4 linked regions of the Struthio camelus genome follow. The protein of the gene in region 2 binds, or shares a complex with, the protein of the main gene of each other region. Links are inferred from orthologs where the notes say so. Each region holds a gene or a part of one and is shown on either strand. Other genes may lie near its edges.

Region 1 (7,834 bases), on a different chromosome or scaffold from region 2:
GTGCTTTTAGACTCTCCAGGCTGCCTTGTGATAGAACTAAGAACATTTCTAAGGCTGACCAGATGCAGAAGAGATGTCATCTGTTCCTCCTAGACCCTCCTTCTTCTGCTATACCGAGCAGACGTCTGGGACAGCTGTCCCAATAACTCATTCTTCTCTTTCCGTTCTGAGTCATTCCTGCCTCTGTGCATATGGTTTCTCTATGCCTACACATCAGGATAAGCATAGATCACTTGTTCGGCAAGTTCATAAAAATGTATCCCTCTCAGCAGAAGATAGATGCAGTACTTTACCTGATAAGCTTTCAGCACTCTGCTTAGTCATCATGCTTTTATTATCTGCTATTTCACAGAATTTCACAGAATGGTTGAGGTTGGAAGGGACCTCTGGAGATCATCTAGTCCAACTCCCCTACTGAAGCAGGGACCTCTAGAGCACGTTGCCCAGGATCACGTCCAGGCGGGTTTTGAATATCTCCAGCAAAGGAGACTCCACAACCTCTCTGGGCAACCTGTGCCAGGGCTCTGTCACCCTCACAGTCAAGAAGTTTTTCCTCAGGTTCAGATGGACCTGCCTGTGTTGCAGTTTGTGCCCGTTGCCTCTTGTCCTGTTGCTGGGCACCACGGAGAAGAGACTGGCCTCATCCTCTCAGCACCCCCCCCTTCAGATACTTGTACACATGGATCAGATCCCCTCTGTCTTCTCTTCTCCAGGCTCAACAGGCCCAGCTCTCTCAGCCTTTCTTCAGAGGAGAGATGCTCCAGTCCCCTAATCGTCTTTGTAGCCCTCTACCAGACTCGCTCCAGTACTGGGGAGCCCAGAATCGGACACAGTACTCCAGGTGAGGCCTCCCCAGGGCTGAGCAGAGGGGCAGGATCACCTCCCTCAACCTGCTGGCAACACTCAACACAAAGGATACCATTGGCCTTCTTGGCCACAAGGGCACATTGCTGGCTCATGCTTAACTTGTTGTCCACCAGCACTCCCAGGTCCTTCTCCACAGAGCTGCTTTCCAGCAGGTCAACCCCCAGCCTGTACTGCTGCATGGGGTTATTCCTGCCTAGGTGCAGGACCCTGCACTTGCCTATGTTGAACTTCAGGAGGTTCCTCTCTGCCCAGCTCTCCAGCCTGTCCAGGTCCCTCGGAATGGCAGCACAGTCTTCTGGTGTGTCAGCCACTCCCCCCAGTTTAGTATCGGCAGCAAACTTGCTGAGGGTGCACTCGGTCCCTTCATCCAGGTCATTGATGAATATATTGAACAAGACTGGACCCAGCACTGATCCCTGGGGGACATCGCTAGCTACAGGCCTCCAGCTAGACTGCACCACTGACCACAATCCTCTGAGCTCGGCCATCCAGCCAGTTCTCAATCCACCTCGCTGTCCACTCATCCAACCCACACTTCCTGAGCTTACCCATGAGGATGTGATGGGAGACAGCGTCAAAAGCCTTGCTGAAGTCCAGGCAGACAACAGCCACTGCCCTGCCCTCATCTACCCAGCCAGTCATTCCATCAGAGAAGGCTATCAGATTGGTCAAGCATGATTTCCCTTGGGTGAATCCATGCTGACTACTCCTGATCCCCTTCTTGTCCTCCAGATGCTTAGTGAGGACCTCCAGGATGAGCTGTTCCATCACCTTTCCAGGGAGGGAGGTGAGGCTGACAGGCCTGTAGTTTCCTGGCTCCTTCTTGCCCTTTTTGAAGGCTGGAGTGACAAGGCTATCATGAAGTCCTGCTCTCCCGCAAAAGATACAGCACCATCTCCTATTAGGAAAGCGTGGATAGTTCTCTCCAGTACTTTAAGAGCAACAGAAGAAAACTAGATTATGGAGTATATACCCCAAACTGTTAGACTCCAAAAATATAAAAAAATATTTTTATCTATTATTTTCTGATACGCTTGCATTTTGCTTTACTACCTTCTGAGCAGGTTGCACTAACTGGAATATGCACAGAATGGAATACATGCAGGATATATACAGAGAAGGCAATTCACATGTACACAGTACCCTACGTTTTTTCTCATAAATTCCCTGATTTTTAAGCTTTCCCCTCCAATATATCTTTGCATTGTATGACTGATCTACAAAAGATATACCAGTCCCTGTATATCTTGGAGGTAGTTTAATTAAACCTGCTACTTTGATGCATTAATAAATATATTGTACTTTCAGCATGGTTCAAGCACTTCACAAATACAGATACGTCACAGAATCTCTCTGGCTTTGTGCTGTTCCTCAATGCCCCTAACGCAGAGAACAGATCTCATTCTCCATTGATACAACAGTGGACACACTGGCACGGAGAAGACATTCTCCATTATCCTGCTCATAGTAAAGGGCTCTGACAAATACTGACCACACTACAACTTCTCTCCTTACTCTAAGAAGGTTCCTGCCATGCTCTGCAACCTTAATACTTTTTTTTTTTTTTTTACTTTTGAACATGAAGCAGTATCTCTGTTCAATTTAAGCAGGTAAATAAGCTCAAAAATACAGTTAAGTTCAAAACACATTGTATTTCCTTTCCTGCATTGTATGTGACCTTCGATAAAACACCAAAAATCTTTTAAGGCTATCCAACAACTGACAGCAATAGCTGGTAGCGAGTACAGTGATGGATCTAATGACTATACTGTGCAGTACATAAGTTCCTCCTTAATAGGCCTATTTCCGTTACAGAACTTGCATCCCTTTGATGCGGTCTTACATGCTACGCTAGATGCAGCAAATTAACTACTGATTTTGCAGTGATCGGGCAGACTTAATGTCACTGTCTCTTGAGTGGCTTTAATGACACTGTAAGTTCTGACTGCACTTCTCAAACTAACCCTTTACAATTCAGATTTTTCTTTAATTAATAGCCAGCATCCCCTTAGAAAAGGGATCATATAATAAAAGTGACGGGGGATCTGTGTTATCATAATCAAATTAAAATCTTAAGCATATTTATAGGGACCTAGTGAATATCTAATCTCAGAAAAGTTAGCTAATGCATTTTGAGTTTTTTTTCCTTCAGGCCTCCCAAGTTAAAAATCCAGTTTGCCTCAGAACAGACTGTATTTTGCCATCATTCTACATAAGGAGACATCACTGAAGCCTTCTGCCTGACAAATCAACAGACGATTAGAATACAAACTGCAGCATTTTTCATTCACTGATGGGTCAAGTTCCTTATTAATGGGCATGTGTATGGTATGGCATGGTATCATACCCAGCTTACTGAAACTGAGGCCAGGGCAGCTTGGCAGGTTAAGTGATCTGTCCAGAATTTACAGCAAGTCTAACATCAGAGCAATAAACAGGAGCTAGTTCCCATGTCTGAGCCGTCTAAGCTGAGCTGAACAAGCCGAGTGATTTGAGTTATACAGACTAACTAATGTTTCTGGACCAAGAGCAGGCTTTTAAAGCCATTGCTTTTTGTACCTGGCTTTAACCAACAACGTAAATCCTTCACTTTTATCAGCATCAAAACATCATGCACTGAAGAAAACCTAAAATGAATGTTCAACACACTCGTAGTAGAGTGCAGTTCATACCCAGGTGAGGCTGCTACTGCTCCACAGCAACCAGGAAGTCCTTCCATTACAGCTATATTGGACTGGATTTCTCCATCTTTGTTTGGATAGCCTCCTCGTCCTACTAGATAATGCCATGTCTTCTCATCATTCTCAATATCTGAACATCATTAAAGTAAAAAAAAAAAAAAGTCAAATATTATGCATATTCTGATTTTTAAAAAATTTCTTACTGTTCCCACTAGTCTGTAGACTCCAAAGCAAAAAAAAAAAAAAAAAAAAAAACCACACACACACAGCAACAGCCATTATTTATCTGCAACCTGAACACAGAAATCATTGTGCTGACATAGTTTCTGCTATGTCTAATTAAAACGTGCTGTTGTTCATATAGGATTGACACAGCTAGTGCCACAGAAGTAAAAAATTAGCATACGCCCCTCATCTCTCGAGTCGCCTGGAAGTCCGTAGGGTTTGGGGAAAGGCAAGGAAAATGGCACCAGGCTATCAGAGGCAAACTGAGAGACTGTATTTGCTCTTTCCTCTATTCGGAGCCCATGGAAGAAGGCAAACCGCTTGGGAAGGGCATCCTGTTTGATGGGCTAATGTAAACGCGGGAGAGCAAAAGCTGCTTAAGAGCAGTTAACCGTAAAAATAACGCAGTATCGACGACGAGTGGCTCCGTAAATTTAACAGCGGCGTGATTTAATGTCGTTATATAAAAACGCGGCCTGGCTAACGGATCCCGCGTAAAATAGGAAAGTGGGAAGGACGAGAGCAGGCAGAAAGCGGCTCCGGAGCAGCCGACAGCTCTCCGGGGAGGAAGGGCCTGCCCTGCCCGAGGGCAGCGGGGTGGCTGGGTGCCAGCCGGCTCCTCTCACAGCACGCCGGGGCACTCCGAGGGGCAGACGAAGCCGATCCGCCTGGCCGCGAGGGCCCAGATGACCGAGGGCGGCCCAGAAACCCCCCTCCGCCATTACGGGGCGAGGCGGCCCGGCGGCGCCCGGGGAACGGCTCGGCCCCCGCGTGGCGGAGAAGGGCCGGCTGGAAAGGAGAAGAAAAGGAGCATTATCCGGCTCTTTTCCGGGCCTACCCGGCCGGGTAGGAGGCTGGGGCGAGGGGCGGCGGCGGACGGGCTGGCGGGGCCGCGGGCCGGCGGCTGTGAGGGGGCCGCGGGCCGCCGCCATGGCAACGCGGCGGGGGGGGAAGGGGCGGGCGGTGGCGGCCTGCCGGCGGCTCTGATTGGGCGGGGCCGCGCGGCGGCGGCGCTGATTGGGCGGGGCCGCGCGGTGACGGCTTCCGGCGCGCGCGGCGGGGCGGGGGGCGCGGCGGCGGCGGCGGCGGCGACGGTTGGGGCGGCGGCGGCGGCAGTGACGGTTGGGGTGGCGGTTGCTCGGTGGCGGCATGGACACGCTAGGCAGGAAGGTGGTGGTGTGCGACAACGGCACCGGGGTGAGTCGCTCCGGCCCCGGGACCCGCCCTGCCGCCGCCGCCGCGGGGGGAGAAGCAGGGCGACTCCCCTCCCGGCCCGGCTTCCTGCCGGCACGCCCGGGGCCCGGCAGCGGGCCGCGCCCGGCCTGCGCCGCCCCGGGGCCTCCAGAGCTCGCCGCGGCGGAGCGGGGCCCCTGCGGCCGCCCGTGCACCGGGCGGGGGAGGCTCCCGGGGCCGACGGGATCCGCGCGCCCTCGGCCCTCCGCCCGCGCCGGCCTCCGGGCGCGCAGCGAGCCGCGCAGCGGCGGCGGCGGCGCGCTGAATGAATGGGCCGGGGGAGGTCGGCAGGGGAAGTCGGGCCCTGCGGCGGCTGGCGGCCGGTGTCCTTTGAGCCGGAGCGAGCGAAAAGGGGCATTTGAGTCCTTGCACCCGGGAAGCGGTAGTACCTCGGTATTTACTGCCGTCGGGTCTCTATCTGTGCCCGTCCCCCAGCATCGTGGCAATTTTATTACGCGTATTGTATTCCTATATATGACTTTAGCGGGTTTCCCTTTAGTAAGGAGTACCAAGCAGAAAATACGGTTTTATTTTATTTTTTTTTTATTTTTAATCGGAACGCTCAGTTTATCCGTTTCGCATTTAGGCAGGCAGAGATGCGCCCTCTGTAATGCGAGTTTTTTGGTTTCACGGAAGCATGTCATGCAGCTTGTGGTTAAAAGGCAGCGGGGTCCTTTCATTAATAGCTTTATGACCTGCAAAATTCACCGAATTGGGAGTCGTGGATAAAGAGGGCGCCAAAGCTTTCCTCCTCTTCCTTTCACCTTTCCTGCCCTACGTGAACATGCACGTGCACACTATAAATTTGTTCTTTTGTTAGTGTTATGGAGGCTTTGAGGTGCCTCAACAGGAAGTGACAAAGATACCATTTTAAAGGCATCAGATAAGATGTTATAGGTGAATTTCCGCCTTAGTAATTTTGTTTAGCAATTGAAATTTTTCCCCCCAGAAAAGCAATATTATCAGGGGAGTTAACAAAGCTGACAGGTTGTCAAGAACTCTCGAATGGCAAAAAAAGAAGTATTTTTTAATAAACACTTTGAATAAAGATTAAAATATTTAAAGCTAAAGATTGAATAGTTGAAACAAAGAACGTCACTGTAAGAGGTTCAACACCCTGCCACATGAATTAAGGCATTTCCAGTAAGCATCTGAAATGATTAGAATGATTCAAAAAGCAGAACATCGGATTTGACAGTTCTGAAGTCTTCCTCTTTTTCCTCCTCTAGAAAGATTCTTTTGAGTAAGTGCTGAGGTAGAAAGCCTTTGGGCCTTTTTTGCAATATCATTTACACAAAGGAAAGAAAAAGAGGCGATTTATCGTTTTCCATTTACAAATGGACATGGAGGCAGGGTTCTGTTGGTTGGTTGTTTTTTTTAAGTGTTTAATGCTCATACTGTCACCTTTGTTGGAAATTTATGTAATTTCAGGATTTGATCCTTTAATACAGCCTTTTACGTAGCAATGAATGGCTTTAAAAGGTATAAAAAAGTATAAAAATATTGTTTTAAAATGTTTAACATATAGATAGTGACCATAATGTCATACTGTAGTCGATCTCAGGGATGAAACATGGGACAGAAGCGGTTATTTTTATGCAGTTTTGCAAGCTGTAGTTGGGACACGATTTTTGTGCAGTGAGACATATCTGTGTGTCTTTTTAAATCAAAGAGACATCTGATATATTTTTTTCTCCATGAATTGTACCACCTGGATATAAACAAATACGACAAATACTGTTATACTGCAGTTACAGTGCCTGGAGTAGGGGTCTGTGTCACTTCAACTTCTGTTGTTTTGGGTTGAGTTTTACCTCTAAGCAGAACAATGCATGTATGGCCATCCCCTGGCCCCAGAGATGACTGTGTGCTAGTGCAAAGTATGAAGAAATGGTTGTTGTTAAATCTGTAAACTTAAAATATTCAAATTGAATTGGGGTAAGTACACCAGAAGAAAATTCAGTTCATAAGATCCATACGTCTTTCAGACTCCACCTGTATACTGAGAATATCAAGTCCTGTATTGCCAAACCAGCATTTTTATAGTAAACATTGTTATATGGTAAAGAAGAGCTGCTTTACATTAGAATAGTGTCTGATACACTGTGATATGTCTTACTTAAACCATGACTAAAGTTAAATCTCTTGCCAAGTGCCGGAAATAAAAATGCAGGAATTTTAGACTCAGTTTTAACTTTCGGCTTCTTTTGAAACTTACTGTTCTTGTCATGCTGAAATATGAGTTTTTAATGTATTTGACTGCAATCAGTCTTTGAGGAACAAGTGACCAAGAAGTGTGTTCTTGCAACACACAGTGTAAGAGAGGGAAGCTGGCGATGCCATCTTGGAGCGTTTGAGATGAATGTTCTTACTGGTCTAGGTCAAATGATAAGTTACTTTATGATCTGGATAGTTTTCTAATTATATTTAAAATCTTTTTTTGAGAGTTGCATCAATTAAAAAAATCAAGTAAAGAGTCCTGATAAGAATAATATTATCCATTTTAAGACTTTTCATGTGACATGTTTGTGAGCAGATGTAGAAAGCTTCCTCATTCTTTTCGTTTGAAAGAATACTTATACGTACAAGTTCTTACTGTTTGATGACTCAGTAGGAAGTGAAAGAGTCGGTATAAAACCACAGTGCGATGGAGAAGAAACTATATATGGTAAAACTTCTTACATATGTGGTCTTGTGTACAGGCAAACTAAGTAGCTGTTCTTAAAACATTTTTTGGTGTATAGCAAATATTTGCAAAAATACATGATGTTGAACTCTTGGCTTCCTCAGAAAGATGTACAAATTCATTGAATTATTAGTGTTAAAAG
Region 2 (7,622 bases):
GCGTTTCCAGGCGCGGGAGCCGCTTCCCGCTGCTCGGCCCCGGCGCGCTGGTGACTAATACCTCCCGCTAGCTGAGCTCGGCGCTGCGGCTGCCAGCGGGGCCTCGGCCCCTTTCCGTTCCCCCCTCCTGCCCCGTCCGGCTGCTCGAGCAGGGGCCAGGCGGTTTCGGGGCCCCGAGCGCAGCCGCTCGGCCGAAGCCCCGCAGGGACGGGGCGCCCGGGGATCAGGCACAGCCTTTGGCACTCGGGTATTTTGGGAACTAACAGGATGTTGCCCGTTTTCTTTGGCAGCTCGCAACATTACGGGGAAAGGAAAAAAGTCTCCCCTCGCCGCTTTCTGTTCTCCCGGGCCGGCGAAAAGAAAAACGGCGGCGCTCCGTCACCTGCATTTCGCGTGCAGGAAAAAAAGAATAATAATAATAAAAAAACCCAACAGGCAGCAGAAAATCCTGCTGCGCGCTAGCGTCATGCAGCCTGCAGCCGGCCTCGCGTCCAGACGCCCACCCCGGCTCTCCAGGGACGCCGACCGGGAGCCACGCCGGCCCGTCGGGACCATCCTTAGAAACACCGATATTCCCAAGCATCTTTTTTAGCGCCTCTAAGAGCCGGCTCGGTTCCCTTGCTCCTGCAAACTCCAAAGCTCGCCCGGCGCCGGAGGGAAGCGGCCGGGCAGAGGGCAGCAAGGCGGCTCCCCCCAGCCCACCGGCCCGGGGGGAGCAACGCAACCAGCTCCCCGGCTGCGAGGCCGAGCCGCTGGCTGCCCCGCCAACAAAACCAGCGGCGAAGAGGCGCTTGCTGCTAGCGCCACGAAAGCTCTGGAGCAGAAAACCGTGTTAAAGCAGTAACGGGCTGAAAGGGCTCCAGGAAGGAGGAGGGATGGGACGGGAGGGGAGCGGCTGCGGTGCAGCGGAGCCGGGGAGCGGACAGCGCCCGCCCCTCGCCGCGGAAACAACGCTCAGCAAGCCGCGCGAGGGCTTCGGTTTGAGCAACGCTCCCTCCCTGCGGCCGTTTACACCGCGTTTCCGCGGCTTCTGGTTTCATAACGTCATTAATTCCCTCCCGAGGCGGGAGATAGCGCCGTGCTGGCGGCAAGGAGCAGGGAAGCGGCCGCCGGGGCAGAGCGCCTTGCAGCCCCTCTGCGCAGGGAAAGGGGCCGGGGGCCCTGGCTCCGGCACGGCCGCGCTCGCCGCCTCCCGAGGGAGGGAAAGGGCGTTTGAGCGGCCCGGCTGGCTGAGGAGGGCCGGACGGGGCGGGAGCGGGGCCCGATGCAGCCCGGTTATCTACCCCCCGCCCGCCTCCGGCAGCCTCAAGGCCCCGAGCAATTCGGAAACATCCTCGGAGGCGATAATAAAACCTTGGCGCGAGCCGAGGGCTTTTGCGACGGGGCGGGGGGAGCCCGCACTCTCCCTTGGGCCGGAGTTGGGCAGAGGGCCGCCGCCGCCCCGTCGTCCCAGGGCGGCTTGGCGGCGCCGGAGCGCTGCTGCCCGGCCTGCCGCTGCGCCCACCCGCGAGATGCTCGCCCTCCCGAGCCACGCGGGTCCGGGCGGACGAAGGGCGCCCCGGAGGCGCTGACCTTCCTCTTCCTCGCGTGAGGCCGATGCCGGGGAAGGCAGAGGCCAGCCCGCCGCGGGAGGGAGGGAGGGACGGCCGCCCGCCCGCGGGGATCCCCGCCGCGGGGCGCTTTCCGCAGCGGCGGCCCTCCCGGGCCTCTTGCAAGAGGAGAAAGCTCAAACTCGCTGACAGCGCTGGAAAGAACCGTCCGAAACGCGGCGACGACACCAAATCCCCCGGGCGCCGCCTGAGCCGGCGCCGCTCGCGTGGGAAGTCGACCCCGAAGCAGCCCCGTCCCGCAGGCTTCGGCTGGGGGGGGGGGGGGGGTTTGCCTCGCCCGGTCAAGCAAAGTTTTTTGGGTTTTTTTTTTTAAATCGTGAGTTTTCTGCCGGGGAGGCGGCCCGTCCCGGGGCCGGACCGACGCCGCTCCTCGCCCGGGCGCGGGAGCCACAGCCCCCGGGGACTTACCTGGCAGCGCGGGGCTAGTTCATGGACTCTGGGCAGTCGACACGAACTGCAGCCCGGCCGGCGGCGAACGAAAGGCAGAAGTGGCTGGCTGGCTCTCCGAGGCAGCCCGACTTCCCTTTTCCTCTCCGAGAAATGCAACCACTTCCTTACGTGGGCGTTGGGGGAGTGCAGAGCCGCTCCGGCGGCCGCCCTGCCCCTGCGTGTGTGCGAGCCCCGGGATGCCGGCAGCCCTGCAACCTCCCCCGCGTTGCACCAGCGGGGCAGGACGCTGCAGGCGAACGAGCCCCATCGCCTCCCTCCGGTTTGACCTCCCCCCCCCCCACCATGCCGGTGGCTGCCAAGGCCTGGTTGTCCCCCCGGCCCGGTCCAGCCCCCACGCGAGGCTCTCTGGGCTCTGCCGTCCTCGGCGCTTCGGGGGGAAGGACGCCCTGGGAAGCGCCTGGACCGCCTGCCAGCGCCAGCTCCGCAGGCGGAGGTCGGAGCCCACCCGAGGTGGGATGCGCATCGGCATCGTCTCCCAGCGCCAGAAACTCACGGCTCAGCAGGATCCAGCCACGCTCGGAGACGGCTGTTCCTGGTTCCTGCGTCCAGCCGAGCCCAGCAGGACCTGGGGGGTTTTGCTGGCCCCAGGCCGGCTCCATCTGCGTCTCCACTACCCAACCCATATGATGCACCCCTCTGTTTTTTTGCCTCACGCTTCAGAGCGACCTGATTTTTATCCCTTTCCTCGCCAGTAGCTCAACGCCTTATTAGCTTTAAGCGCCAGGAAGGAGAAAGGAGGATGGGGGACGCCCAGACACGTTCATCATCGCCCTGCTGCAAGAGTCCCGCGCAGAGGGATGCCCTCGCCCCTTACCTTGGAGGGTAGCTTCAGAGGGGACCGTCCCATCGCTGAACCGCCACAGTGGTATCTGAGCTCAGCATCAGGTTCTTGCACAAGGAGGACAGGCCCTGATGGGGTTTCCCAGCTGCAGGATTTGGATACAACAAGCCCATATTTGTTAAGCTCTGGAATTAATTCCCAGGTTACAGGTCAGCCATGGAGAAAGGCTCTGGGGTGCAGCATTGAGGGGGTAACTCATCTCTCTTTTTGCTCCTGAAGTCCAGCTATCCCTTCACACACGCTGCCACGATCCTACGCAGCACCCATGGGACTGGCTCGCCCAGGTCAGGGCTGCCCTGGCACCCTGGGGCTGGAGATGTCCCCAGAAGGTTGTAGGTCTTTGCAGCTCTGGCCAGGAGTGAATCTCCACAGCAGGTGAAGTCTGTCTCAGGAGTGGCAAAACGCCCCATCCTCTGGCACCAGCTTGCCCAGAGCAGCATCTGGCCTCTCCCAGCATCACGGCTACCCAAACGCAGCAAAAGGGCTCCCACCACAGCTCAGATGCAGCTGAGGGCTGCAGCAGATTGAAGTTTTCACTTCTGCCTGCACATTTTCTTTCTTCCTCTTGCAGCTGCTCTGCCTCTGCTCTTGAGCAAGACGGTTCAGACTTTCCCTGTATCCCATCACTGTCTGCTGTAACATCACTGCCAAGCTCTGCACAGAGACCAGCAACTTAATGCCTGTGCAGGATGAGAGGACACAGCCCTAAGGACCACTCATCTCCCTGTCGCTTCGCATCAGATCTTGGCGCTGCTTCCAGGCAGGGACGCAAACAAACGATAGGTCAGTTTAACTTCTGCGGTGGGAATCCCCCTACCTTATTAAGTGAAGGGAGTGAAGAGTATCACCCCCCAGCACTGCCTGCAAGGCGGTTTCTTATCTGCTATTGCATTTCCTCATTGCTTCTGGTCTTGAGGCTGCTCCTGCTGCAGCTGTTCTCTGAACATGTGCTAATGAGCACAGCGAGCAGCCACCGCAGGGGACCATTTGAGAGCAGACAGCATTTATCCAAAGCAAGATAATGACCTGACTTAAGTTTTGGCCAAACCATTTCACCTCTTTTGCCTCAGTTTCCTTAAGCGGAGAGATCCTCCTGCATCCATTGCAGAACGCCTTGTAAAGCTCAAGGCCTTTCAGAGAGGCAGTAGAGGAACTACCCCCCTGCACGCATACTGGAGACGTGAGCATGTTTTTTTGCTGGGGCACTTTTTAGAGCTGGGGAGACAAAAAAAAAAAAAGTAGCAGCAGTTCTGCAGCTTCTTTTCATGGTGAGCTTTTTTAGGCAGGCCCCTGTGAACAGTCTCTGGCGTCCCTGCTTGTGCAGCCCCATTTCTTGCCCCTAACAGTCTGTTAACTGGCACGTAACATAGAGCATATGCAGCCAGCAGCTATCCTGTAATTAAGATGGCAACCATGAGCTTTATTGTGAATATTGCTTTCAAGGGCACCATTAACCCAATCACATACAACAAGCACACGTTAGCAAGCTTAGTGGTGCAACTAGCTGAAATCTGCTAGTGAATTCTCACCCACGTTGGGCAGAAAGAACGCCCTCTGACAGTGTTAAAGATGGGGGAGGAGATTAAGGAAATGGTACAGGCAAAACAAAGCACCTACCTTCAAAATGGCTTACAGAAACTGGAGGAAGGATGGCAGCAGAAAGACCTTCAGATCAGATAAACGGCCTGCAAATCCATAAACCTGCCATCTGTGAATGTCAGGTGGTGCACAAGGAGCCGAGCTCTTCCCCATCCTCTTCACGTCGGGCAATTTTAAGTTGAATCATGCCCAGAGATGATTGTGTATATTCCCCTTGCTCAGTTCTTTTCCAGTGTAAATATCTCCAATTTGTTTCCAACTCAAACTTCTAGCATAAGCATTTCTCTCTGAGACAGTAAGCTGGGGCAGTGTTATCAAGTGTCAGTTCATTGGCTTTTTGGAGCAAAAATGCTCATTTTACCTTCTCTAGATCTTTCATGCAGAAAAAGGCAAAAAACTTAAAGACCCATTTTCTCCACTCTCTCATTAGATGAATTTTTCCATACCTCTGTATTATTTGGGCCATAAATTTTAGAATACAGCTTTTTCAATAGATTTTTGGAAATAAAACACCACACTTTCAAGGTGACTTCAGAAACCAAATCATTACTTTCTGTGAGACATAAGCATCTAGTAGGATGCCCACGCGGACAAAGACAAATTCAAGCTCCTCTGCCCATCATTCAAGCTGGCTGACAGAGTCACTTTGATCCAGAAGACATTTAACTACACTAGCGTGGCATTGTATCCTAGCTGATAAACCCATCCCCATCACAAGAGGAATCAAACAGCAGATCACTAGACTAGAAGATGAGTAAGGGGCTAAACAGTCATTATTTTATGTTTAGAAGGGAGGGGAAATTGCAAAACCATGCTTGACTGCCAGAAAGGTGGGAGCAAAATAAAACCAGAAGGAACGGAAAAACAGCCAATTCTTTGCATTCAACAAACATTTCACCTGAAAATGATCTGTCTCCGTGACGGACACCTTTCACTTACAGAAATACAACAGAAGCTGTCCACTCTGTGGGCTTGTCTTCCACCCTCCCTTTTCAATCATTCGGAGCTGAGACACAAGCAATGCATGAAGAAACGTTGTGGTTCCAGAGGAAGTGGTAAATTTAGTCATCGTTTTTTTAAAGACACTTCTGCATTTTCAGAAATGAAATGAAAAAGTCTCAAGCTTTGTGAGGCAATACCCTGAGCCAGATAATCCCCTCCAGTGCACAGCCGGGATCAAGCCTCAAGGCAGCAATACCCAGTTATCTTAATGAGACCACGTGAATAAAAGAAGTTATGTGTAAGTGCCTTGGTCAGTTACCAAGGCTCAGAGCTAAACTTCAAAAGATAGTCACCTGGAGACAAAGTGTCTGTACAGAAGCCAGCGTGTGCTGTTCATACCAGTAGATGTAGTTAATTTCTTCCTGGTCATTCTAAACAGATTTTTATAGGCAGAGCACTCAGCTCTAACATGACATGCAGGCCAGTGTGGCCACATGGGCTTAAGAAGTGATTTGTTTCTAATTTATCCTCCTAAGTTTTTTGGCTCAGCAGATTCTTGCCTCACTTTCTGCAGGCACTCTTCCATTCTGTACCCTAGGCACTGTACAGTGAGAAGTCTTTGTACAAATCATAAAAGCTAACTACAAATAATTCTAGTCATCTGCCTTCAGAGAACTATGACCCGCCAAACTGAATGGAAAAGACATTTGGATTAATTTCCTATTATTACTGGATTTAATGCCAGGCAGACAGAATTAAGAGTCACTAGGACAAAATCATACATCACCTAAAATTACCACATTCTCCAAGGGAGTAATTCCCCTGAAAGAACTCTAGCTAGTTCATCTTCATTTGTGAACTTTTAAAAAACTTCCAGTTAAGATGAACTCTTCCCCTTTTGAGGACAGAAAAATCAATTCAGCGTTTTTCAACTTCTTTACCTGATTTTCTTCCCATAATATTCCTTTTTCAAGCAGTTAATGAGAATCAAAACAGAAAAGAATCTGTTTTTCTTTTTTATTATTATTATTATTTCTAGCAGACAATTTACATAAAATTCCCCTTTTAAGTTAGTGATTCATAACTTCCTGCAATAAACTACTTAAGGAGCAGCTTTGGTAAAGAATGGAATGAAACAACCAACCAAAAAAAAAAAAAAACAATCACAGCTGATTTTGAAACCAACACAATTCACCAAATTTAGATTCAAAGAAAATCTGCCAAGCTGTATTTTCTCAGTGTTTCCAAATATTCCACCTTCCTCCTCCCTTTTCGAGTTTGTGCAGATGTGGGAGCTGCGTTCTGTCAAGCAGTTTGTCCTGCTAGATCACGGAAATCCATCTTTACATGATTCGTAGACCTTGAATAGAGGACTCTAAGGTCTTGAAAGAGAGAAAATTTTAATCACAAACTGCTACAGTATCCTGCGTTAAATAATTCTGTGTGAAGGCTGACATTAAAAGAGGAGCAAAACAAACAGGGCAGTGGAGATTAAACATGTATCCAAGGGCCAGAGACCACTATGATTATTCATTCCAAACTCTTACATATATATGCCAATGATTTCCCCCCTTCCTCCCTTAAACTGCATAATATCAATTTCTTACTTGGCCCCAGTCCCTACTGAGCTTCCAGGCATTACTGGAATATAAACTCTTTTCCCAAAAGCCTGTGTACAGCTGTAAGCAAAAGCTTGGGCAGGTCAGCAGAGACCTCTGTTGGCCAGTCCCAACAAAGCAAGCACTTGGGTGCTTGCTTGAATCCAGTTAGGATTTTCAAAATAGTGCTTACTGTATTTCCCAATTGTTTTAGGTAAATTCTTACTATTTCAATAAATGAATAGAGTGCATGACCCTGTTCTTCAGAAAGACAGTGAGTCCAAAGGGACGGGAGCAAGAAGAGACAGTGGGTCTTGTTGCACCAATGATCATTCCAGACTGACTGTGGCTAAGGTAGAACTCAGAAAAGGAAAGAATTAGCAGGATTCCTACAGGAAATAAGTGATCCAATTAAAAAATTAAGTCTGGATTATGACCATCTGCTAAGCAAAGTATATCTGCATTTATGCTAAATCTTAGATCTGTCTTCCTTACAGAGTTTGTTAATGGTCTTGAATATGACAGTCGGGATTTCCTAGTGCTAATATAATTTGCGTGAGGGCTGCGCTGCAGCAGCTGAGA
Region 3 (7,047 bases), on a different chromosome or scaffold from region 2:
AGACTCACCGCAGCAGCTCGTGCTTCTTGGTGCGGTTGTGCGCGCTGAGCGCCTTGAGCTCGGCCTGCCTCTTGCGCAGCTCGGCCAGGACCTCATCCTCGGAGTCCTCGGCAGGACGGTCTTCCGACTCCAGCAGGCCCTGGGCAACGAGCTCCTCCTTGATCCGCCCCTCCAGCGATTTGGTGTGGGGGACGCTGCGAAGGGCAGAGAGCGGGTGCTATGCGCGCCACAGCCAGCAGATGTGGCAGCATGACTGCGCACGGACTCGCCTTCTCCCCCAAGGCGCAGGGAGGACATAGATGCTCTGTGGGCCAGGACCTGGGCAGGGCTGTAGCACAACGGGAGCTGCCTGTGCTCGAGGCTGTGCTACCTTTTGCCCCAACCTACTCTGCTGCAGTTACTCGAGGGACAGGTTTCTTTTTGTTTCCTCCCAACGCTTGCAGAAGACATGGAACCCCAGGCATGTTCAGACATCCAGCAGGCAAAGCAGAGCTTCGGGGCCACCTCAGCTGCTCACCTGAAGGGCTTGTTCTGGCTGCGGGGGGAAGTGCCAGCGCCGTCGGCTCCCGAGTCCTTGCTAGCAATTTCAGGAATCGGGGAGTCCTCGACGGGGGAGATGATGTTCTCCTGGCAACCAGAGGGCAAGAGAAGGGTCAGTTTACCGAGCTGCAGTGACACTGCCCGACAGAGCCACAACGCAATCCCGAGCCCTCTCACCTCCACAAGGGCCTGCAGGAGACGCTGCGTCAAGGGCCCGAAGGGGCACCCGTCCTCAGGCTGCTCGTGCTGGGCCTCCGACTTCTTCAGCAGGGCATCAACATCTGGGAGGAAGCAGGGAAAACAGTGAGCAGCAGGGGAGAGGCCAACGCCTCAGCGGGACTCCGGTGCAAGGTGAACTGTTCTCTCCTCTGCAGGGACAGCTTTACTCCATTCTGTCTCTGCCACCTGAGCCTCCCTGCAGCTGCGCTCGAGTTGTGCCCTCCCCAGGGCAGCCACCGGAAAGGGAGGAACCCCCAGGGCAGCAGGGCCAGCGTCCCAGGGGCTTGGCTGTGCTCCGTGTAGGTGCCTTGCAGCCCCCTCCAGGCCGTTCACAGAGGGCAGACGCAGGCAGGGATGGAGGCACCTTTAGTGTCCAGCTCAGTCAGCGGTCCCAGGATGCCTTTCTTCTTGTCAGCAGCAGCTGCTGCCCGGGCTCCGTCCTTCTGCTCCTCCAGCAGGTCCTCCTGGGCCCAGCGCTGGGAGTAATGCTTCCCCAGAGGCGGGATCTGCAACCACAGGACAAGCGAGAGCAGCGGTCAGCACAGCGTCCCAGGGCCCTCGTCCGCGCCAGAGCTCAGGCACGAGGAGACGGGCCCTGCCGTGCCACGGAGCAGGCCCTACATCCAAGGACCCAGCCCCGCACACTTCACCTGGCTCGCAGCCAGGCCAGTACCCGGCTGCCCTGGGGCTCTACAACCCTATCCCCAGGGCTGCTCTCCCGCTTTCCCAAGGCCTGGGCCCTCCCCTCCTCTCCCACAGCTCCTGCGCAGAGCAGATGGCAGAATTCGGCACCTCCAGACGCGGCCCTGGAGGCGGCGCAGCTGCCCGTGAGCTCCAGGGCCGAGCTCCTCGGCAGCCGCCCTGCCCCTTTGGCTGGCCCGGCGCCGTTCGGCTTGGCGGTGCCACCGGCCGGCGCAGACCCCAGCGAGTCTTTAAGCTACACAAAGCGGCAACCACAAGCTGCACTCTCACAGGAAGAGCAACCACAACGTTATGAGTGAAATCTAAAACCGTGCTACGGGAAGAGCGTTTTCCTGATCGTGACTCAGCCATCCCCACTGTACAAGAGGCACGGGCCCGTCACACACGCAGCGCTGGCAGGACACGACCAGATCAGGGAGCTGGTACCGCGAGCACCAGCCCTGGTCACAGCGTCTTTGATCAGGCAGGGAGCCCTCACCCAGGGCTCTTCTGTAGCCGAGACCAGAGATGTCATCTCCACGTGTGGAAACTGTGGCTATCCAACAGCACCACACGTGTAACGCAGCAGAGGTGAGAGCAGCCAAGTCTCTCACCCCATCCTGGCTGCTACTTCTCATCTCCACAACTGCCCCCGTTCCCCAGTTCTTCACCCGCTTACAAGCGGGTGACAACAAAAACAACCGTCTGCTGCCGGTCCTCTTCCCTAGAGCGTGTAAAATCCTTCTGCTCGGCTCCCTAGAACAAACAGAGCCCTGCAGCTGGCACAAGGGAAAGGGGGCTTGGGGTCTCTCAGACAAGGGTCCAGAGAGGTCCCTTGTGCTCAAAGTTGGATGTAACAACAGGAACTCTGCATGTAAGAACACCACGAGTCTCACAGGCCGGGACCACGCTGCAGCAGGAACAGACAGACTACAGCTGGGCACTGCCTCCCAAGGACAGGAAAGCGCACAGCAACAACCTCAGCACTGCCCCAGAACGGGGGCAGCAAGTTGCTACCTCGTGGCCGCAGCCAAGACACTCTCTCACGGGAGCCAGAAGAGAAAAGTGTGCAGATAAATTCCTGCTTTTGCAGGAAAAAACTAGTATCATCCCCACAGGGCGAGCGTTCACTGTAAGGCACAAGACTGCATTGACAGGAGACTGGCCCAGGATTAGAAAACAGACAGGAAGAGAGGCTACAAGACTGGGTGGGCTTTAGATCTTTCACCTTGTAATGCTCAGCCTCGTCCTCAGGCGGCTTGAGCAGCTCTTCCAGGACTCTGACTTCCTCGTTGGTGAGGTCGGCGCAGTACGGCTCCACCGAGGCCCAGAACCTGCGAGGACGGAGCAAACGGACAGTAAGGGGGGGCTGCAGAGGCACAGCGTGGGCCGCGGCAAAGGCCGACTCACACCCCCCCTTCCCTCCAGGGCACCTCTTCCCTCGGGTCCAAGCCAGCCCTCTCGCCAGGAGCTGCAAGGAAGGAAACGGATGATCCAAATGTTCCCCATGCACCTGTTTGGAGCATCATTTTTGGGAATCCGGGGAACATCAATGGGATCATCTGGGAACTCGTATTCCTGGATCTTGGGCTGCAGGTTCTTGGATTTGGGCCGACCAGGGCCAGGCCCTGTCCCGTGACCCCCTTTGCCCTCCAGCTTCTGCTTCTTGGGCTTCCCATGTTTGACAGAAGTGCCCACATCATGCTCCTTGCTCAGCTTCAGGAACCGCCGGTCACCCTTCTTGTCTTGCCAGTCTGTCAGGATCTGGAAGAGAGCAACACCATGTCATGCCACACAGCGCAGCCTGGGGACGGGCCCGCTGCCCACACCAACGGCAGCCCAACAGGCCGCCGCAGCCCCTCGGCGTGAACGAACAGGCGAGGGAGCGGGCGGCGGGCCCCAGCGGCCCTCGCCGCGCGGGGCAGGCGGCGGCGCCCGCACCTGCGTCTCGGCCTCCAGGACGCGGAGGCGGCGGCTGGCAGAGGAGAGCAGCGTCTCCAGCTCCAGCTGCAGCGTGTCCAGCTCCTCGATGCCGATGCCGTCGTCCTCGGAGCGGGCCAGCACGGCCGTGTAGCGCGGGCACACCTTCACGTGGTCCACCGACTTGAAGTCGTGGAACTGCAGCGGGCAGTCCTTCAGCTCGCTCATGGCGGCGGGCACCGGGGGGAGCACACGGGTGTGTTCGGGGGAACGGGGCGGGGGGCAGAAGGATCGGGGCACTGAGGGGAAGCGGGGGGGGGGTGGAGAGAACCGGGGTGCTGAGGGGAACCGGCGGAGGGGGGGGGTTGGGACCGGGGCGCTGAGGGGGCGGGGCCGGGACGCAGGGAAGCCCCGGGGGGGGGGTCGGGGAGGTCCCGGGGGCGCCGGGGCCGCCCGGAAGGCGCCGGCGGGGCAGCGCGTGCCGCGGCCGGGCGGGGGGGCGGCGGCGCCGCGGGGCGGGGGCGGCCGGGAGGGCCGCGGGGGGCCGGGCCTAGGCCGCTCGTCCCTTCCGGCCTCCGTAGGCCAACGCCGCGCCCGCCTTGCCCCGCCCCACACTTCCCATTGGCTGAGCCGCGCCCAGCACCCGTCGCCTATTGGCCCGGCCCACGCTCTTTTTGCCTTCCCTAATATGGATGCAGTGACGGGACTATACCAACGCGGCGGGCGGGCGGGGGGGGATGAGCGGGCCGCCGCCATCGCGCACCGCCATCGCGAGCCGCCGTGCCCGCCGCCGTCACTTTCCTCTGCGCGGTGAGGCGAGGCCAGCTCGGTGCGGCCCGCGCCCTTCGGCGCGCGGCGGGAGCCTCCCCCGACCCCCCCTCCCGCTGCAGTGGGAGCTCCCGGCCATCCCGGAAGAGAGGAGCCGCCGGGGACAGCTACTTCCGCCTGCCGGGACCGGACCGGAGCCGCCACCATGGTAGGGGGGGGGGTGGCGGGGGCTGTGTGGCTGGGCCCGGGGGCGGATGGAGGGACCTGGCGGGGGGGTTGGCGGGGCCTAGGCCGGCAGCGGACCGGGGGGCGTTGATGGGGGTGGACTGGGGGCGGGCGGGGGGGCCGGGGGTGAGGGGTCCTGAGGGGGGCGGCTGGGGCGAGCTGGGGGTTTAGGGGGGCGGCAGGCCCGAGTCGGGGGTGGGGGGGTCCTGAGGGGGGCGGCTGGGGCGAGCTGGGGGTTTGGGGGGGGGGCGGAAGGCCCCAGCCTGGGGTGGGGTGGGGGGGCTGAGGAGGGCAGCTGGGGCGGGCTGGGGTTTTAGGCGGGTGGGGGGGGCCTGAGAAGGATGACTGGGGGTTTGGGGGGGCGGCAGTCCCGAGCTGGGGGTGGGGGGGCCCGAGCCGGGGTGGGGGGCAGTGGGCCGCACCGTTTGCCAGCTCTGACGCCGTGTCCCCGCAGACCGCCACGCTGCGCCCGTACCTGAACGCGGTGCGCGCCACGCTGCAGGCCGCCCTGTGCCTGGAGAACTTCTCCTCGCAGGTCGTGGAGCGCCACAACAAGCCCGAGGTGGAAGTCAGGTACGGCCAGGGGGCGGCTGTGCCTGCGGGGCCCCCGCTCCGCTCGGGCCCTCCGCCATCCTTTCGTTGGAGGCAGCTGCCCCCGGGCTGCTGCTCTGCCTCTGGCTGGTTTCCGGGGCCAGCGTGTCCCTGTGGAGCTGTTGTGCTGCGACGCTGCCAGCTCAGCTTTAGCAGCACGGGGAAAACGGTCTCTGCTCTGGTTTTAGTGCACTGAGTCCAGCACTGTTCCTGAGCCTAGCTGAGTCCTGGTTTTGGACACTGGGAACTGAGTCCTGGTTTTGGACACTGGGAACTGAGTCCTGGTTTTGGACACTGGGATGGGTTAATTCTTGTTGGGGTTTTTACACCAAAAAACAATCCCATCTAGTCACTGCTGCCTTTGCTTAGCATGTCTGGGCCTGACGCGAGGGGACTGTGCAGGCTGGAGAGGCCTCTGCACTCAGCAGCTGCCACCAGGCAGCGATGGGGCTGGTCAGCCCGGGAGCTGAGAAACTGCAAAGAGGAGGGAGGATCTGCCTTCATGATGCGTGTGCCTGGGAGGTGGAAAGCATCGTGTTGGAGCACAAAACAAACTCCCAAGTGTCCGTATTGGCTGTGATCCCTGCAGCTCCCTGCTTGCATGCCCTGTGTGGCCAGCAAGTGCTCGTTAATCAGTGCTGAGCTTCTCTTGCATCCACAGAAGCAGCAAAGAGCTGCTGTTGCAGCCAGTGATCATCAGCAGGAACGAGAAGGAAAAGGTCCTTATAGAGGGATCCATTAACTCTGTGCGAGTCAGCATTGCAGTGAAACAGGTGAGCTGGTGGGAGGGGAGGGAACAGGCTGGTGGCTTGTGTGTTGCTTGGAGGAAGCCTCACTTCTGCTTTCTCTCTGCAGGCTGATGAGATCGAGAAGATCTTGTGCCATAAATTCATGCGTTTTATGATGATGAGGGCTGAGAACTTCTTCATCCTGCGCAGGAAGCCTGTGGAGGTGAGGTGACCCGTGGAGCTGCAGAGCAGCATCCTGCTGTGCTTTTGGCACTGCTGGGGAGAGGGGGGTCTCCGGAGCCGAAAGAGGACGTGTGCTCACGGGGTTGGTGCGCTAACTGTTTCTGCCACTTCTCTCTTCTCCAGGGCTACGACATCAGCTTTTTGATCACAAACTTCCACACAGAGCAGATGTACAAGCACAAGCTCGTGGACTTTGTGATCCATTTCATGGAGGAGATCGACAAGGAGATCAGTGAGATGAAGCTGTCTGTCAACGCCAGGGCTCGCATCGTGGCAGAGGAGTTCCTCAAGAACGTGAGGCTCTAAAGCGGGAGGCGATGGTTCCCGTGTCTCTGGACGAGGGTGCAGCTCCGGCCTGCCGTGACCCTCGCGCGCGGAAGCCTGGCCCCGGGCTGTCCCCGTCTGTGGCGCAGGTGGCGGCAGCCCCCTGGGAAGGTGCCCTTTGGGGCAGGGGAATCACGTGGGGAGCGGGTGGGGGTACCTGGAAGAGCTACTGCCCGCTTTGCTCCCTCCTCAGTGAGAGAGGAGCGCAGCGTGACGCGCCAGCTTTGCAAGGCTGCCAGCGGGCTGGCGCTTTGCTAGGGCGCGAGCGGCAGCTGCGGGACGCGGACTGCTGAGACGAGCTGCGCGGTCCCCAGGGCGAGGGGAGGCAGGGAAGTGAGCGCAGAGCTCCACAATCCAAGCAGTGCCGAACGGCAGTTATCGTTCGTCTCCGTCCCTGCTGATCAGCCAGACGTGGCTTGAGGCCGCCTCGGCGCAGCGCGGATGGCACGCTGGGCGCGGGAGGGGAGGGCGAGCGCGCGAGGAGCCGGCAGTCAGCGGCCCTGTGCCTTCCCTTCTTGCCTTGCAGTTCTGAACCGTGGTGCTGAGCTCCCTGGCTTCTCCGGCGTCCCCGCGGGGCCGGCCGCAGCCCGGCCTCGCCGCCTGCGGAAGAGAGGAGAAGCCGCCAGATGCTACGGAGCCGTCCGCGGGGACGGGCGAGAGGACCGGGTGTCCTGAAGCGAACCGTGCTCGTGTCAGACCGTGCCGACTCCCTGCTCTTCGTTCCTCCTTTGGTTTTTTCCCTCCCCTCCCTTCCCCCTTTGTTTTTCTTTTTTTTAACAATTCCTCGTTTGCTGTAACTCGGCTGCTC
Region 4 (7,892 bases), on a different chromosome or scaffold from region 2:
CAGAGTTGTCTGAAAAGAAAGATCATGCTTTTTGTAACAGGTTTTATTCATTTGAAGAATAATGCCCACACTTATATAATTGATAACTGTGAACTAACATATGCTTTTTTTATGTGTTAGCTTTACATTTCTGCATAGTAATATTCTGTCCTAGGTCAGATTGAACTCTACACACATTTACCAGTGATGAAACAGCTGGTGGAGCAGCTTCAGCAGTGGGAATTCCGTGTCTGTGGAGTTTTTCTTGTTGATTCTCAATTTATGGTGGAATCTTTTAAGGTATCCGTTTGAAATATATTGTAAAAATTCATATTAGTAGAGAACAAGAAATCTGAGTAATTTTAAGGAGCTAGTTCTGTTTAGTCTGAAGAAGAGAATGCTAATTGGGGGCGGGTGGGATCTGATGGCTGTTGTCACCTGCCTAGTGAGCCGTTATGGAGAAGAAGATCGAGCCATATCCTTCTTGAAGATGCGCAGCAAAAGGATGAGAGGCAATAGACACAAGTGGCAGGAAGGGAAATTCCAGTTGGATAGGAGGAAAAAAATCTGCACTGTGAGAGTGGTCAGACTGGAACAGGGGCCCACAGAGATTGTGTAATGTATGTTCCTGGAGTTAATTCAAAACTCACCTGCATGAGATCCTAAGCAACCCGATCTGACCTTGCAGTTGGCCCTGATATGGATCAGATGATGTCTAAACGTGCCTTCCAAACCAAATTGTTCTGTGATTCTATAAAACTTTCTCAGATCTGGAAAGAGAGCATGCCCCTTTCCCAGTCTAGCAATGAGAATCCTGAGAAGGGCTTTGAGTTTTGTTAGATGTCCTTCCCAGTGGCAGATCCAGATTTGAAACTCTGGAAATAGATGGCAAATGGGAACTTTAGCCTCTCCCTTTTCCAACAGAGATAATGACTCCTCACTTGGCCTTGTGTCCATGTTTCATATATTCAGTAGCTAGTTTTGGTTTGTGGTCGTGTCCTGCATGTTTGTGTTGTGTTTGTCTGTACTTAAGTATGTCATTTTTCATATTCCTTTAAGTTTATCTCTGGAATTCTGGCAGCACTGAGTGCAATGATATCTTTAGAGATTCCACAGATCAACATCATGACCAAAATGGATTTGCTGAGCAAGAAAGCTAAGAAGGAAATAGAGAAGTAAGTTCCCCAAATATTTGTTGTATAGCCTAACATCTGGTGATAAACGTCGCTCAAAATTCAGTCTACTGTTTCCCACAATTAAAATCTACTCTTTTGGAATGGGAAAAGATGCAGTTGTTTTATATTGAACACAGTCTTTACATGTCTAGGATAGGATGCTTACAACTTAGTCACAGAGTCAAAAGGCTAGCTCTATGCATATACATATTTATCTTTTTCTCTAAATAATTATTTTCTGTTAAATCATTATCTAAAAGCACAATGACTTACTTGTTCTTTAGCAAAGGATTCTTTTGATGTCAATGAAGACTTTTTTTTTTTCTCCCAGGTACTTAGATCCAGATATGTATTCCATGATTGAAGACTCTACAAATATATTAAAAAGCAAAATGTTTAAGAAACTGACTAAATCTATATGTGGTTTGGTAGGTGTATTGCTTTTCGTTCTAACTGATATTCTTAAATTCAGTCCTGTATTTATAAACAACACTATATGGCTACTGCCTTCTTTGCTGTTATAGATATTCTGTATACTATAAAAAAAATTCCCTAAAACTGTATATTTACATAACAGACTTGATAACAGCACCAGGCTTTACAAGATTAGCAACTTTGGAGAACAGGATTATCTAATGTATAGGACTTAGGACTGACGGGCAGATGTTTTCATTGGGGAATTGCCTCTGGTTTGCAGTGTGGTTTTAAATAGTATGTTGGGAGTCCAGGCAAGGAAGATGTAGTTTGGTTTAAAGAAGTAGCTTAGAGTGCTATGAGTGTAAAAGAACTAACTTGCTGCACGCTCTTACTAATGTCTTTTAAACGTTTTCTCTAGATTGATGACTATGGTATGGTTCGATTTTTACCGTTTGATCGCTCTGACGAGGAAAGTATGAACATAGTTCTGCAGCACATAGACTTTACCATTCAGTATGGAGAAGATCTTGAATTTAAAGAACCAAAGGTAAGGTCCTTCTGATGATACGATGAAAAACTTAAAAGCTTCCATAATACAAGTCATAATATAAATGTATTTTGACTTGTTTAAAAAATGTATAGAGCCTGTGTGTTGTATGTAAACTATAGATTAGGAATAAGTTATGTCATGTACAATACAATGACACCATGACTCGTGTCTTAAAACGAGTTCCAGGCCCTATCTAGTTTGATTATTCAGATCATAAATCCTAAGGAACAAATTCAATACTTTATTTATTTATTTATTTTCAGTTCAGTTTTGTACTTGTGGAATATGCAAAATCCCTGGGTCTAGATTTTGACCCATACAGTTTGGATAGCTCTAGAAACAGATTGCTTTCCAGAAAGTTTTGCCACTCGTTTTATGGAATCATATTAGACATTTTCCTTTTTTTTTTTTTTATAACTAAAATGCCAGAGGACAGATAAATTATTACAGCTCCTTGGGGGGAAACAGTTAAGTTTTACTTTTTTTGTTTTCTCTCTGGCAGGAATATGAAGAAGATAAATCTGCTCTTGTTGATGAATATTTTCAAGATCATGTGGATGAGTAAAGCACATACATTCAAAAACAAGGGGAAATATCGTGGTTGTTAAATATTTAAAGTATCATGTTTGTGTAGTTTGTTTTTTATCTGTAAGATAACTAAAATTTCTAATGAAAAGTGATCCTGTATGACCTCATAATTATTTTAATAAATAATTTCATTCTTATGTCTGTGTGCTATAAAATATGTACGTATGTATTACTGCTGCTGTATGCAAGTTCCCCACATATAGTTGTCTCATTTAAGTATAGGAACGTTTGGGAAAAGTCAGTCATTTGCAGAAGAGGCACAGTCAAATACAAATAATTTACAATAAATATTTATCTCTAGTACGGGGTAGTTTGTTCTATTATTAGATGAGCGAAAAACTTGTTTTAAAGGGTGAGTAATGTACTTCATTAACTGAATCTGCGGTGGGGAAAGAGATAACTGGCAGCTACAAAAGGAAAACTGATCAGTAGCTGGACTCTTGACCTTCTTGAAGAAGATGAGTATTTTACGTTCACTTTGGTGGAGCCCATATTTTAAGCCTCCTTTTTTAGGCTGTTTTTGTACAACTCGCATGTGGCTTTAAGCGGTTTTTACATTGATAACATCTTAAACAGTGAAACATTTAAAATAAATAAAATCAGCTTAAATAGAAATCAGTGCTGTTCTTGTACAGTTGCTGCAGAAAGTGTGTTACTGAATGAAGAATTCAGTAACTAATAAGGTAAGTAGCTGCTTTTTTAGCTCTGAATAGAGAACTTGTACACCTACTATGACCTATATAGTAGAATGTGCGTTGGTTTCACAGAGAAGCAACATTTAAGCACTTTATCTTGGAAGAACATATTTACTGAAGTAACTAAGTACAAGTAAAAATAATCCTAAGAGCTGTCGTCCCATGCCATCTGATCAAATGCAAAGGTACCTCAGTCCTGCATGTGCACCCCCCCCCATGGGTATTTGTGTGCTCAGCCTTGCCAGTTTTATGAATTCTAGAACAAATCTCATAATATTCAGCATTCTTAAAACCTTGCCTCCCAGAGCCAGACAATTATGAGAGCTGAGACCTCAGTTTTGTGAGAGTTATCACGGTCACCAGAAAGAGCTGAAAAATTTAGCTCTTCAAGGCTTAAAAGCATGACGCAAAACCCCGGAGTATATGTATGTATATAAATAATTATTGTGGAGGTTAACTTCATTATGTGGGGAGTCTTTTTATGCCTGCCTGTAGCTAATCACATCACTGGGTGCTTTATGCCTGATCTATGCCTTGCATTCAGCAACAGATAGCCAGTGACTGATGCAAGTTTGCCAGTGCAAACCTGAATGCAGACATGGACAGTTTTGAGTTGTACTGGCTGAACTAAACCATGCAAATACTGGGGAAGCTTTGGCGGCTTAGCTAACTTCCAAGCTTGCACATCCTCGGGGATGGCAAGCCCGGGGAGGGCTACCAAGATGATTAGGGGACTGGAGCAGCTCACCTATGAAGAAAGACTGCGAGAGCTGGGCCTGTTCAGCCTGGAGAAGAGAAGACTGAGAGGCGATCTGATCAACGTGTATAAGTATCTGAAGGGGGAGTGTCAAGAGGACGAGGCCAGTCTCTTCTCCGTGGTGCCCAGCAACAGGACAAGAGGCAACGGGCAGAAACTGAACCACAGGAAGTTCCATCTGAACCTGAGAAAAAACTTCTTCACTGGGAGGGTGACAGAGCATTGGAACAGGTTGCCCAGAGAGGTAGTGGAGTCTCCTTCCCTGGAGATATTCAAAACCCGTCTGGACGTGATCCTGGGCAATATGCTCTAGAGGTCCCTGCTTGAGCAGGGGGGTTGGACTAGATGATCTCCAGAGGTCCCTTCCAACCTAAACGATTTTGTGATTCTGTGATCCTTGGGATGAGTCATGCTTGTGGAGCGTTGAAGGAGAAACCTAACTCCTACAGTTGGATTACTTTGACTCAGTTTCCGCATCTCCCCGTTTTTTCTCCCTGACTCATGCAATGATGTTATGCTCAGTCATTTGCCTGGGGACAAATGAGGGTCCCTGGGTCACAGGGGAGGTTATGGTTAGGATTTTAACAGAGGAGTGGAGAGTTCAGTGAGGCTCTGAAAACAGTATATCCTTCCAGACTGCCCACCCAACACAGTAGCCCCAATTGTTTGCTTCCTTATACCCAGTGCAACAGCAAGTGCTCACAGACCAGTCTGGCAGGCTACACTTTGCAAGTCAGGTCACAGCAAGAGATGCACAGGAGTGCTGCACATCAAACACTCAACGGAGAACTGGCTGCAAGCAAAGGGCCCCAATCTGGTGCACCGCGCTCTCTGTGCTCTTGTCACGCTCTGATCCTCGCTGGGGAAAGAAGCTTGCCTCTGTCAGCAAGGAAGCGTGATCTCACAGCTGCTTGAAAGAAGACAGCACAGAGGGATTGAGAGGGCTTTACTTGCAGCGCCAGCCAATGCAAAGGGAGAGGGAGGGGAGAAACATGACTCCAGAGGGCAAGAGCAAACAAATCCCCCAACAGGGTGTGATTTCAAAGCATATTCTCCTGCCTGTCTGTGTTTCTGCAGCGAGCGGTGCAGAAACTCTCTGGGCGGTGCGAGTTGCAGGCCTCCGCTCTGGCTTCCCTTCCTTGCACCGCCTCCGCTGCCTCATTTCCTGCAGCGCAGGCAGAAGAGGAAGGTTTCCTGCAAGCTTCTCAGTGCTCCCCTCCTGCCCGGCCCTGCCAAATTGCATCCTGCCCTTCGAGATGCCGGTGAGGGGGATCCGCTGCACTCACACCGGAGTGCTGTGTGCTTGGCCTGCCCCAGCTGCTGGGAGAGAGGGCAGGAGGGCTTGGGGGAGAGCGGGCAGGCCTGAGAGGGCGGATGCTGCCCACTGCTGGGGGTCACAGGGCTGGGGTAGGGGGAAACAGGCTTTGCTGTTGGGGTGTGACTATGGGCAGCTGCGTTCAGGAGAGATGGGCTATAGCTGCCGGGAGCCTCGCTGGGAAAGGGCAGTTGCAGTTTATGGGAGGCTGCTGCGAGGCTAGTATGCTCCTCTTCCTCTTCCTCCTGTGAAGGATCCTGCCTGCGTCTCTGGGTGCAGCTAGCTGTGTTTCTGCAGTAAGGAGGGTGGCAGTCCCTCCCAGCTACACCTCTGGGCACTCCCAGCTAGCTCCACTGAGGAAGATGGCATTAAAGCTGTGCTTTGCTATGGTTTAGTTCATACCATCTTCCTCATGTTGAAATAAACTGCTTTCCTGTTAGGTGCTGCCTACCCTGTTGCTGCCCCTCAATTGCACTTCCCTGCTTCCCAGACCCCCTGCAAAATGACTGCTGCGATGAGATGAAGGCTTTCTAGTGCCCTGGAACTGCACTGTGTAAATGTCTGGAAGGCGCCTTCAATTAAACTTGTTATTTTTTAAAAATCTGTTTCCCAGGAATAATCTTGTCATTCACACAAGGGTCTTCTTTGTTTTGTTCTGTTCTTTCACTGACAAATACCAGTTTTAAAGTGCATGAGCCGGTCTGTTTTGGTACTTTGTGGATATACAATAAGTCTGGATTTGTTTATTCCTATCTACTATTATTAGCTAGACATGGAATAAAATATAACCTTTTTTTAAAGGACCAAGTAATTAGAAAAAAAATTAATTTTCCCTCATACACTTCTATAATGGTAAGCCCCATAACTAAGGCAGGAGAACAGGGCTGTTACCACCTCAGAGCTGTGCCAAGGGGGCTTAGAGAGCCTGAAGGTGAAGCAAATGCATATAGATCTACCATACCAGTTTTTTATCATATCTTCCACCACTGCTACCATAAACGGTGTCTGTGATGATTCTTTTATGGCCTTCACAATGTTGTTGAGAGCTAGGCCTAATGTGAAAACAGCAATCGTTTGTGCAAGGTAAGATTGCTAGAAGCATCACTAACTAAACTCTGAATCCTATTTGATGGACACCCAGGAGACACTTCAGAACCGCTTATGTTGCCACGAGGACATTGAAATGCCTATTTTCAGTAACATTCATAACTAGCCTTCCGCTCTGTCCATAGGCTTACCATTCAACTTTAATGGACTCTGATACCAAGTTAATTGGGAACATGGCACTGTTACCCATCAGAAGCCAGTTCAAAGGCCCAGCACCTCGGGAAAGTAAGTTTACAGTAATCTCTGAACATTTGTTTTCATATTGCTTGTAATCATGTCACAGTTTGTTCATAGCCAGCTCTAGCATTGCTCTGGTATAGTGGGTGTCTCAAGTACATGCTTTTTATCAATGTCCCCGGGCAGATGGGATTGAGAAAATTATGGCCAAGACTTAACCAGGCGTTTTAGATCTTGATTCTCAGAGTGAAGAGAGAAGCCATGGTTTAGAAATGGAGTGCTTTTCAGTTGGTAGAGGAGGAAAAACGCTCTTAAATGGTTAAGTGCTGCAAACCAGGAAAAATAATTACCATACAGCAGTTATCTGGGAAAACTGTGCCCCCTACTCCCAAATTCTCTTACTTTAGAAATAAAAAAAAAAAAAAAAGTACAGTTACTATTTTCATGCTTCCTTCTCGGGTGCTCTACAATCAAGTTTTACTGTGGTTTTCAGTAGGCTTTGAGGAGGACTTGTAACTGATGTGAACCTTCTGACATAAGAGGAAGTAGAGGTTGAGCTAAAGAGAACTAGCACTTTGGGGACTGAGGCTTGAGAGTCACTGCTGCGCTGAAGGATGAGGAGTAAGATAGAGAGCGCTTTAGGGTACGCAACTTCATAAGTTGAAACTTAAGTTCCGAGCATCCGGAGTCCACTGAAGAGTTTTACAGGTAGTCTGAAATGGATTCCGCTTCAGCACTTCAAGTAGCACTTCCCAGGCACATCTCACAGTAGGGTGGTGTTTCAGTTTGAAAAGGGAAACATTTCTGGATGTAGGCAGTCTTATGTTTTAGCAAAAGAAGGTGAAAAGTGCATATGAGCTTGTGTGACTATATATTGTCCCCTGCTTTTTTCAAAGAGGATAATGAAGAAGTTTGGTTGTGGGGGTGTACTTTCTCCAAAAATATTTGTCTGCCCTCAGAAGACTTTTATGCTGTTAAATTACTCGACTGGTAGTAGGAAACAGTGTGGAATTGCTGAATTGTTGCCCTTTGTAAAGTGAGAAGCCATGGGGGGAAGGAGGAGAAGGGAATTAAAACTCCTGCTAAAAGTAGGAAGCGTAAATATTAAGGTCCGAATTCGCCAGTCTTCCAC

The links.
Region 1: ARPC1B (region 2) and ACTR2 share a complex: the UniProt entries of both Homo sapiens proteins name them as parts of the arp2/3 complex. The link is inferred for Struthio camelus from reciprocal best matches to the Homo sapiens genes ARPC1B and ACTR2.
Region 3: the proteins of ARPC1B (region 2) and ARPC4 are in contact, whole or in part, in a cryo-EM structure (PDB 6YW6), measured with the Homo sapiens proteins. The link is inferred for Struthio camelus from reciprocal best matches to the Homo sapiens genes ARPC1B and ARPC4. Residues at the interface, in NP_005711.1 of Homo sapiens: Glu9, Pro10, Asn28, Gln54, Thr72, Arg74, Asn96, Arg97, Ala98, Arg100, Ser143, Thr144, Cys162, Trp204, His206, Leu245, Pro246, His263, Ala319, Gly320, Lys326, Asn327, Ser328, Met350; in NP_005709.1 of Homo sapiens: Gln17, Cys21, Leu22, Glu23, Asn24, Phe25, Ser26, Ser27, Gln28, Val29, Glu31, Arg32, Glu45, Leu46, Leu48, Glu124, Gln125, Tyr127, Lys128, His129.
Region 4: ARPC1B (region 2) and ARPC3 share a complex: the UniProt entries of both Homo sapiens proteins name them as parts of the arp2/3 complex. The link is inferred for Struthio camelus from reciprocal best matches to the Homo sapiens genes ARPC1B and ARPC3.

What each region holds. Positions count from the first base shown.
Region 1 is NC_090944.1:141,298,167-141,306,000, forward strand, and holds the start of ACTR2 (actin-related protein 2), read left to right. Parts: upstream 1-4,834; 5' UTR 4,835-4,922; coding exon 4,923-4,970; intron 4,971-5,290; exon of another isoform or gene 5,291-5,399; intron 5,400-7,834. UniProt on the Homo sapiens protein: ATP-binding component of the Arp2/3 complex, a multiprotein complex that mediates actin polymerization upon stimulation by nucleation-promoting factor (NPF).
Region 2 is NC_090956.1:4,575,436-4,583,057, forward strand, and holds the start of ARPC1B (actin-related protein 2/3 complex subunit 1B), read right to left. Parts: upstream 3,003-7,622; 5' UTR 2,875-3,002; intron 2,314-2,874; exon of another isoform or gene 2,019-2,313; intron 1-2,018. Other genes in the region: ARPC1A (actin-related protein 2/3 complex subunit 1A), read right to left, coding at 6,786-6,824. UniProt on the Homo sapiens protein: Component of the Arp2/3 complex, a multiprotein complex that mediates actin polymerization upon stimulation by nucleation-promoting factor (NPF).
Region 3 is NC_090955.1:9,933,297-9,940,343, forward strand, and holds ARPC4 (actin-related protein 2/3 complex subunit 4), read left to right. Parts: upstream 1-4,041; 5' UTR 4,042-4,333; coding exon 4,334-4,336; intron 4,337-4,807; coding exon 4,808-4,926; intron 4,927-5,605; coding exon 5,606-5,717; intron 5,718-5,799; coding exon 5,800-5,895; intron 5,896-6,038; coding exon 6,039-6,209; intron 6,210-6,765; coding exon 6,766-6,771; 3' UTR 6,772-7,036; downstream 7,037-7,047. Other genes in the region: TADA3 (transcriptional adapter 3), read right to left, coding at 9-194, 518-627, 718-821, 1,124-1,265, 2,669-2,774, 2,954-3,204, 3,382-3,588. UniProt on the Homo sapiens protein: Actin-binding component of the Arp2/3 complex, a multiprotein complex that mediates actin polymerization upon stimulation by nucleation-promoting factor (NPF).
Region 4 is NC_090958.1:17,142,113-17,150,004, forward strand, and holds the start of ARPC3 (actin-related protein 2/3 complex subunit 3), read left to right. Parts: upstream 1-4,877; 5' UTR 4,878-5,126; coding exon 5,127-5,423; intron 5,424-6,708; coding exon 6,709-6,808; intron 6,809-7,892. Other genes in the region: GPN3 (GPN-loop GTPase 3), read left to right, coding at 155-279, 1,039-1,154, 1,486-1,582, 1,990-2,118, 2,624-2,686. UniProt on the Homo sapiens protein: Component of the Arp2/3 complex, a multiprotein complex that mediates actin polymerization upon stimulation by nucleation-promoting factor (NPF).